3 linked regions of the Yarrowia lipolytica genome follow. The protein of the gene in region 3 interacts with the protein of the main gene of each other region in a biochemical or structural test. Links are inferred from orthologs where the notes say so. Each region holds a gene or a part of one and is shown on either strand. Other genes may lie near its edges. The genes, in order: YALI1_D17151g, YALI1_C33098g and YALI1_E21983g.

Region 1 (2,935 bases), on a different chromosome or scaffold from region 3:
ACATGATTTTTTGTCCGTCTTCGTTCCTATGTCCTGGTTGGCGATATGCACCACCTTGTAAAACATCTAGGCTACATCTACACCCTTAGAAACCTGTGTGGCCATGCTATGAGAACCCCGAAATATACAATATATTCGTAATCGTATCGATAATCGATTTGTCAACTCCCCTTTGCCGTCAGCTGTCTCTTTCTCCCATGGTATTGAGTATGTATTTTTGATTCTAGGAGCTACAATACCCACAGCATAACAGAACTTGTATACCGAATTGGGGTATGTACTGATATCTTGCTGACCACACGATATCGTATTCTTGTCCATTCATATCATGAGTTCATTATGCTCAGACATCGCAGGGTTCACTGCTCGGTCTGAGATGAATAAATTACTATAAATATACAGGGGACGGGAACTAGATACGAGTGCATGCACTACTAAGTGATGCAAGTACTTGTAACACACTCACATCGACCAACAGACGACCGACTCGCTACGCTGATACGCACGTCTATGGTCTAGTTCCACCGCGGAGCAGGACCGGTAAAACTACCAAAAGTCTCCCTGTCCCGGTTGCTCATGCCATCACCTCCTCGGCCGCCTCGGCCACCTCTACCTCCTCGACCTCGTCCTCCTCGACCACCGCCTCGTCCACCTCGCCCCCCTCGGAAGTTGTTGTGTCGAAACCCCGAATCAGTCTGGCCAAACGTCTCCAAGTTGAGCTCTCGGTTGACCCGGTTCTGCTCGGGGTCTCGCTGCTGCTCTCGGGTCGAGTGCGAAATGTTGTCGAAGAAGGACGACTTTTTGTTGTAGAACTTTTCTGTCTGCTCGTCCTCGGTCATTTCCTTCTTGAACTCCTCAATCTGGTTGGAGGAGAAGTCAAAGGGTTGCGCCGGAGTTTCTCGAGGCTCCCGGGGCTCCCGGGGTTCTCGAGGCTCTCGCTGTCGCTGCTCCCGGGACTCTCGCGCCTCTCGGGGCTCCTGGCGAGGCTCAGGTCGTGCCTTTCGAGGGGCCTGCTCCTGTACCTGAGGCTGTGCCTGAGGCTGGGATTGCTGCTGCGGCTGAGCGGGAGGCTGGACCTGCACTGGTGCAGCTGCAGGCGACTCGTTCTGTGTCACCTGCTCGGCCTCCTCCTTGGGGGCCTGCTGGGGCTCGAGTTCGGATTCGTCCTGGGTTAGAAGGGTTCAACAAGACCGAACGTATCGGCAGACACAAAATCAGAAGGAAGGCAGGAAATATCCGCACGGTTTTTTGCGCTCTCGGGTGAAATAATTTACATCCTAATGCTTCATCATTGTGGTTGAAAGGGTGAGTGGCGTGTCGACGGTACAGCACACGTGACATGTGAGGGTCCACCATTGGTGTGGTGTCACTCGTCATGGCGCTGTCACTGTAGATATCAGCACATGATCATCTCCGCTCGCTCTCGGTGTACTCACAGCAATCTTCAAATCCTTCACGTCGCTGCCGCGAAAAACCACATAGTCGTAGACCGCGTCGCTGGCAGGAATCTCGTTGGCCCCTCCAGTTCGCCCCTCGGTACCAAAGGTGCGCACCTTCATCAGCGACACGGTCGACTCCTCGGAGTTGATCTCATGGAGAACGCCGAGGTACCGGATGTCGCTGTTGGAGATGAGCGAGATGGTCTTGCCAATGAACTGTGACATGTTTGCGGGGCTTAAATTGTGTTGGCGGATGGGTTTTGAGTCGTCTGTGTTTTGACAAGTGTAAGTTTGAGACTGTTACCCGGTGGGCAAAGTGGTGGAGTGTGGAATCTGGTGTTTGGGGGACTCTGGGCAGCGATTGTGGGACTCGGATGGCGACAGCGGAGCGCGACAATGTTTATATAGACGAGTTTTTCGTCGAGCTGGCCCGGATCAGATCGAGTCCGACGACAGGGTAATTGAGTTGCCCTAGGTGGAGGCCTGTTAGACAGGATGCGCGATAGTGGAGGTCCAGGTGTGTGATTCTGGCAGGGAGCTTGACTCTGTGGGTGGCTTCTGGAATTTGTGAGCTGATTGAGTCAAAGAGCAATCCTCATGTTATTTGAACCTCTGTTACCGCTGTACCATACTGCTCAGGCTGTGAGAGTATGCAGGGATCTACAGATTACGAGTGGAGACGAGGCATGGCCAGAGAACATGTTTTTAAGGCGTCCAATGTCCAAGTTGTGGTCTGGAGGTGTTCCAGACGGTCATTTTTCGGCTTTCGCACGCTTCTTTTGTGGATTCTACGACCTGTACCGTCACATACTACGCTATCTCCTATGCACTACTACTATATACATCCAAAGTTGAATGTACATGTCTTCTTTGGCACTTTGAAGAAAATCCATAGAGAGGTGTCTCGGTGCACATGAGACGGAATCCACGTGACCGTGCATCATCACGTGACTCCAGATATCCAGAAAACCCACGAAAATGCACTCTCTAGTTGTAACGCTGCAGTCCTACAGAGTTTACTGCTGACTAATACCAACCGCCATTCATCGCTTACTAATCCAATGCCGTTGGAGTGCAACTAATGGGGCGCAAAATGGAGCTAGAGCTACTGAGAAAGCAGAAGATGGCAGAGGACGATACAGCGATCTCGGGGTCGGTTTCAAAATCCAAATATCTCGACTACATCGCGACATAGAAGGGATCTTGAGTCGTCTCTTAAGCTTGAACGTTTTGACAAAATTTTGTCAATGATGTGACCAGTTTCGAACCCATTAATTGTCCCAATCTGCACCCTTAAATGGGATACAGTTTTGGTGGTGATTGGGGGGGAGGGGACAGTTGCAGCACCCAGTAGACACTTTGTGATGAGAGTAGAGAAATATATATACTAGTAACCAGAGCAGAAGCCGATTTCTTTTTTCAGAATCTCAATATCTGGACTATCGGGGGAGTTGAAGGGAGGATACATTGTCTACGTATCCTCACGGGTGTTTCAG
Region 2 (2,304 bases), on a different chromosome or scaffold from region 3:
ATAAGTATTAATATTTTCCGCCCCAGAGTCCCCTTTCTCTCGCAAATCATCTCTTATATCGCAATGCCCGAACCGACTTACCCCAAAATGGCCTATTGGATTGAGTGGTTTGTGGGAACCGCCTCCAACGTGGGCTTCCCTCCGACCACAGTGCTCAACGAGGCCACGGGCTTGGAGTTGACCACTCTGGAATGGTCCAAGAAATTGGCGACTGCGGCGACCACAGTTTTCAAGCGAGATGTGGATTACGTGCGAGAATACATGGTCTCCAACATCAAGGCGTACCTGACGAGCGAGGGAGCTGCGTCGACCGACTCATCGTCTGCCGCACTAATCTCCGATATCTCCGAAACCAAGGAACTGCCGGGTAACTGAACTTCTCAAGTCCAACTACAGACCAACTTTTTGGGGTGTGAATTTTTTGCAACCTTATTTGAAAATTTGAAAATTTGAAAATTTATCAAAAGTCGATATTGATTACGATCTGTGAGAAGTGTCTGTGGCAGTAAGTGTATAACTTTTACTAGGTATAATACAATCAATAAAATAAAGAGTACATGCGATGGGCCCAGAGTGGGGATTTGGAAATCTCACCCCAGACTTTGTGTAAGTGGCTAATTGATGCTGATATCAGACAGACCTTAGTAACCTCCTCGGCCACCTCGTCCACCGCCGAATCCACCACGGCCTCCACCTCGGCCTCCAAATCCGCCTCGTCCACCTCGGGGAGCTCCAAAGCCACCTCGTCCGCCTCGGGGAGCACCTCCGAAGCCTCCTCGAGCACCGCCTCGGCCACCAAAGCCTCCTCGAGCACCTCCACGGCCACCAAAGCCGCCTCGAGCACCGCCTCGAGCACCACCTCGTCCTCCAGCAGCCTTGGGCTTCTTAACGCCGGTGGCCTTGGGCTTGGGCAGGAATCGCTCCAGCGGCAGCAGCTTGTCTCCGCCAATGTAAAACTTGTCACCAGACTTGAAAGAAGCGGCCTGGAAGCCCTCGGAGGGCTTGATAGTGAACATGACATCGTTCATGGGGCCAAGAATCTCGTCGACCTTGCCGACCTGGGTCTTGTTCTCAAGGTAAATGGGGGCGTTGAAGTAGGGGATCTTCTCATTGATGGACTTGCAGACGATATCGCCCTCGCAAGCGTGCAGAAAGGCACCCATCTCAAACACCTGATCGGGAGGGCCCATCTGCATGGGTGCGCCGGTTCGGCCACCTCGGAATCCGCCTCGTCCTCTGAAGCTCATTTTTGTGTGATGTTTGTAGTAGAGGTTGTGATGAGTTCACTGTAAGGTCAAAAAGTTGTATGCACCTACTAATTTTTTCCCATTAACTTTTCTGCCCTAGCCCTGCTCATGCAGTGTACTATCCATGTTGTAGGGTAGTGCTTGTTGACTAAGCCATCACCTCTGTGACGACAATAAAATGGCCCTATCGACAGACCTGCTCAAGATCTCGCCTCTAGCAGCGCTGCTCAACAAGGATAACGTGTCGATAAACTCAGTCTATCAATTCATCGAGAAGAACGGCTTCAATGATCGCGACCTGCATACCCTAGAGTCTCTGAATGGACTAGAGAAGTGAGTATAGAGAGATGCACAGACACAGAAACACCGCTAGAACTCCTTACTAACCCAGATTATGGCCAGTTTACAACAAGAAACAGGCCAACACAAATGCCATTGTCGTGGCACTCCTTGTTCTTGCCAAGGCCAATGACGGATTCGATCTATGGACGGTGTTCGAGAAGAGCCCCGAAAATTTTGGCCATTTTTACAAAACGGTACTCAATCTCGTGGCCGGAGACAAGCCAACACGGATCCAGAAAGTGCGAACCAAACTACTGCGGTTTCTGACCGTTTCTTTCCAGTGGCTTGACTCTCAGTTGGTGCGATCAGAGGCAGGAGCATTGGTGTCGGTCTACACATGGATGCATATGGACGAGAAGGTGCGAGAGAACCTGCTCAAGGGAAACAAGCGACTGGGGAAGCTCTGGAGAGGCGCCATGAAAGCCTACGACAAGGGCGACAAGAAGGAGGACATCGATAAACAGTCTTCGTTTCTATCGACACTTACAGACATCATGTTACAGAAGGAGCACGATACGGAGTTTGTTGACACATATCTGTGTTTTCTCATCTCTATTGTGTCGCAAATCCCCTCAAGACGATTCGCCAACAGTGTTATCAAGTCCAAGAATGTGTGTTCATTGTTGAAGAAGTGTAACGCCGATTTGCTCAAGACCCTCGATTTTTACGTGCATTTTCCCATGGACGATTTCTCCGGCGAAGAGCTGACTCCTCT
Region 3 (3,076 bases):
CGTGACCGCCGTCTTTTTCTTTCGTTTCTCGGTGTGATTGATTGGCTCGTTAATTTTTCGGATCAAAATTTTCCAACCGGAAATCGAACTGAGACACGGTTGTTGGAGTCAAGACGATGACAGAACTGCTTCTAATCTTAACAATCTAGTTGAGGAAGTTAGTTGAAATTACTGGGGATGAAAATTCAGCTGGGGGTTCATTTACGGGGTTGTAGAAACGGTGGAGACTAGGAAAGTTGCTGTGTGGATAGTCGATCAGCAACTTGATAAGTAATAATGACTTTTGAGAATCTCTACACCACAATAATCAGAGATATCTTCATTTCAGCGTCTCGTTGTTGAGTGTGATTAGTGGAAGAAAAGTAAGATTTAGTTGGTATGTACTAGATGGGTGTAGGATTTGTACTGCAAAGCAGAAATAGAGCAGAAATGGTCTCCTAGCACCCACATCTCTCTCACTTGTACTCGCCGCTTGTTAGTCGTCATAAAAAATACAATTAACATTCTATACATAATTTTTTGTTAGACCGTTCCAGTGAAAGCCACAGCTTGGCTTGCCACTCGGTGAGCCGACAGTGGGATCTACAGTAGTCGTCGTGCCAGCTTATTTCATGCAGTAAAATCGCTTGCCGCCCTTGTTCTCAGCCTTGCACTCCCACTCCAGAGTAATGTCCAGATCTCGGTTGTTCTTCTCGTTGGGTCGGCAGTCAATGGATCCAGTCACCTCGTCACCGGCTCGCAGAGACACCTGGCCGTCAATGTAGAAGACAGTCTGCTTCCAGTGAGTGTACTTGGCATGGGGGCCGGTGGAGAACTTGACGGGGGTGGTGAGCTTGTTGAACTCAATGTCGAACCAACACAGAATAGCGTGGGCAGTGTCGTTGACCCGGGCCTTGAGGTCAAAGTTGGCCTTGAAGGCCAGATCCTCCACCTTGACGGTGTACAGATCGATCTCAAACACCTGGCAGGGGTTGGAGATGACGTGTCGGAGGTCCACGGTGTCGACCAGAGGCTCGGACAGCACAATGTCCTTGAAGGGCGAGTAGTCAAAGCCGTAGACGTCGTCCCAGAAGGACACCTTTTCGTCCTTGTACTCGCCGTCCTCCAAAAGAGCGGCGTAGATGGTGGACTTGTCGGGCATGATAATACCTCCGGGGACCAGGTACTTGTCTCGGGCGTACAGCACCGTGTCCAGCATGGATTCGTAGAGCAGGAAGTAGCCCATCCACTCGGAGATGATAATGTCCACCTTCTGGTAGGGTAGGGTGATCTCCTCCATCTTGCCCTGGATCAGGGTAATCTTGTCGCTGAGTCCGTTAAGATCGACAATCTTTCGGGCCATCTCGATGATGTTGGACATGTCCACGCCCATGACATGCTTGGCACCGGCCTGCGCAGCAAACATGGACAGAATGCCGGTTCCACAGCCCACATCCAGCACAATCTTGTCCTTGAACAGGTCTCGGTTTCGCAGAATTGCGTGCTTGTACGACAGAGTTCGCGACTCGTCCTTGAGCATCTCCTCATGGATGCCAAAGTGGTCGTACGACGAAAAGTAGTGCTGCTCGGAGTATGGGAGGGACATTGTGGGTGTGCGGTAAGAGGTCGGGTCAACAATGGTGGTGAGAAGAAGAAAGCTTCTTTATAAAAATTTCCCAGCTATGCACGATAACTTTATCGACCAACCATGCAGGTGGGTCAGAGACCGAAAGAGGGTGTTGCGGCTTGAAAATGACGGTTTTTGTTTGTGGAATCAATTTCTACGGCTTCAAAAACCACAACGAAATATCCGTGGTCCAAATCTGACCACCATAACCCCCTCCTGACCGTGCTGTTTAGCTCAAACCATGGGATATTTTTCACAACACTCGCATGAACCCTGTAGGAGTCGAGAATGACGAATATCGCGAATTTGGTGGTGGAACAAACGGCAAGAAATTGATTGTTGATCGACAGACTGGTGGTTGGGGAATCACCTCTCGTGCTGATTAACCCGTATCAATTACGGGTGTTTATTATGAGATTTCCTCATCTCCTTCTTTATACTGTGAAGTTTGTCGTAGCGGTAATGTGACATTGATGGTTATCGTGGACCAGTGTACGGACAGGTTATGACCAGGTAAGGGGAAACAGGTATTTCCGATGGACTTGATGGTGAGTTCTCCTAGTTTATACCTTCAAAAAAGGTATCCTTTTTGGTGACAGCATCTCTTGGAGCTACAGTTTCACCTATGACCATTAATGAACTCATACCGACTGAGGAGTCGGCCCGTACCAAACCCGAACTCGACCCGACTCGACTCGACTCGGCTCGATAGTCACCCTTCCCTACCTGCAACTTGTTTCAGCCTTACTATCGCCGGCAATTCTCCTTCGGGTCTCTCGTCGGTATCCAGTCAGTTCAATGACTGTTAGGCCAGTTGAGTCTCGCTCGTTGCTCTTTCAGCCCATGGCGTAGTATTCGCTCAATGCTCCCCGGAATTGATCTAGGCCGTAGCTCGAATAGCGCCCACAACGGCCGGTAAGGCACAGGCTGGTTTACCGAACAGCCACCAACACTACTCGTAGCGTAAACCGGCATATACCTGGCGGAGTCAACAGTCGACAGTCGACAGTCGAATGGTAACCAGCTTGGTAGCCAATCAGCCAATCAAAGCAGTCTAGACGGGACTCTCTGCCAAGAGACAGCTGCTACAATGGTCCCATTCTTACCAGATCATGCTTCAAGCCATTGTTGATGCTGGAGGTTAGTTGTTCCGCGCCGTATCCAACCCCAACCAAAGTGAGACTAGACTACAACGCCATTCTGGACTCAACAGAGTCCGACGGCGACCAGAATATTTTGCGATTCGCGAACCGTCAATGGATGACTAAGACGTACAGTTTTAGTCATGTATTATTCCCATGGGGAAGAGTCCTGTTGGCAATGAAGTCCAATTGAGAATGTAGTCCAATGAATAAGCTACTTGTAGTCAAAAAAAAAGAGAAAAAAAAAAAAGAAAGTCCAAAATGAAATAAAAGTCCAAAATCATATTAATGATATTAATGATATTAATGATATTATATTCTTTGAAAG

Evidence for each region.
Region 1: the proteins of YALI1_E21983g (region 3) and YALI1_D17151g form a complex in vitro, tested with the Saccharomyces cerevisiae proteins (2 studies listed by BioGRID, with this or other methods). The link is inferred for Yarrowia lipolytica from reciprocal best matches to the Saccharomyces cerevisiae genes HMT1 and SCD6.
Region 2: of the proteins of YALI1_E21983g (region 3) and YALI1_C33098g, one has a biochemical effect on the other in vitro, tested with the Saccharomyces cerevisiae proteins (2 studies listed by BioGRID). The link is inferred for Yarrowia lipolytica from reciprocal best matches to the Saccharomyces cerevisiae genes HMT1 and GAR1.

The regions. Positions count from the first base shown.
Region 1 is NC_090773.1:1,713,957-1,716,891, forward strand, and holds YALI1_D17151g (uncharacterized protein), read right to left. Parts: upstream 1,665-2,935; coding exon 1,437-1,664; intron 1,167-1,436; coding exon 516-1,166; downstream 1-515.
Region 2 is NC_090772.1:3,308,581-3,310,884, forward strand, and holds YALI1_C33098g (uncharacterized protein), read right to left. Parts: upstream 1,248-2,304; coding exon 642-1,247; downstream 1-641. Other genes in the region: YALI1_C33086g (uncharacterized protein), read left to right, coding at 64-375; YALI1_C33100g (uncharacterized protein), read left to right, coding at 1,426-1,580, 1,639-2,304. UniProt on the Saccharomyces cerevisiae protein: Non-catalytic component of the H/ACA small nucleolar ribonucleoprotein (H/ACA snoRNP), which catalyzes pseudouridylation of rRNA and is required for ribosome biogenesis.
Region 3 is NC_090774.1:2,196,733-2,199,808, forward strand, and holds YALI1_E21983g (uncharacterized protein), read right to left. Parts: upstream 1,586-3,076; coding exon 605-1,585; downstream 1-604. UniProt on the Saccharomyces cerevisiae protein: S-adenosyl-L-methionine-dependent protein-arginine N-methyltransferase that catalyzes both the mono- and asymmetric (type I) dimethylation of the guanidino nitrogens of arginine residues in a variety of RNA-binding proteins such as heterogeneous nuclear ribonucleoproteins (hnRNPs) and small nuclear ribonucleoproteins (snRNPs).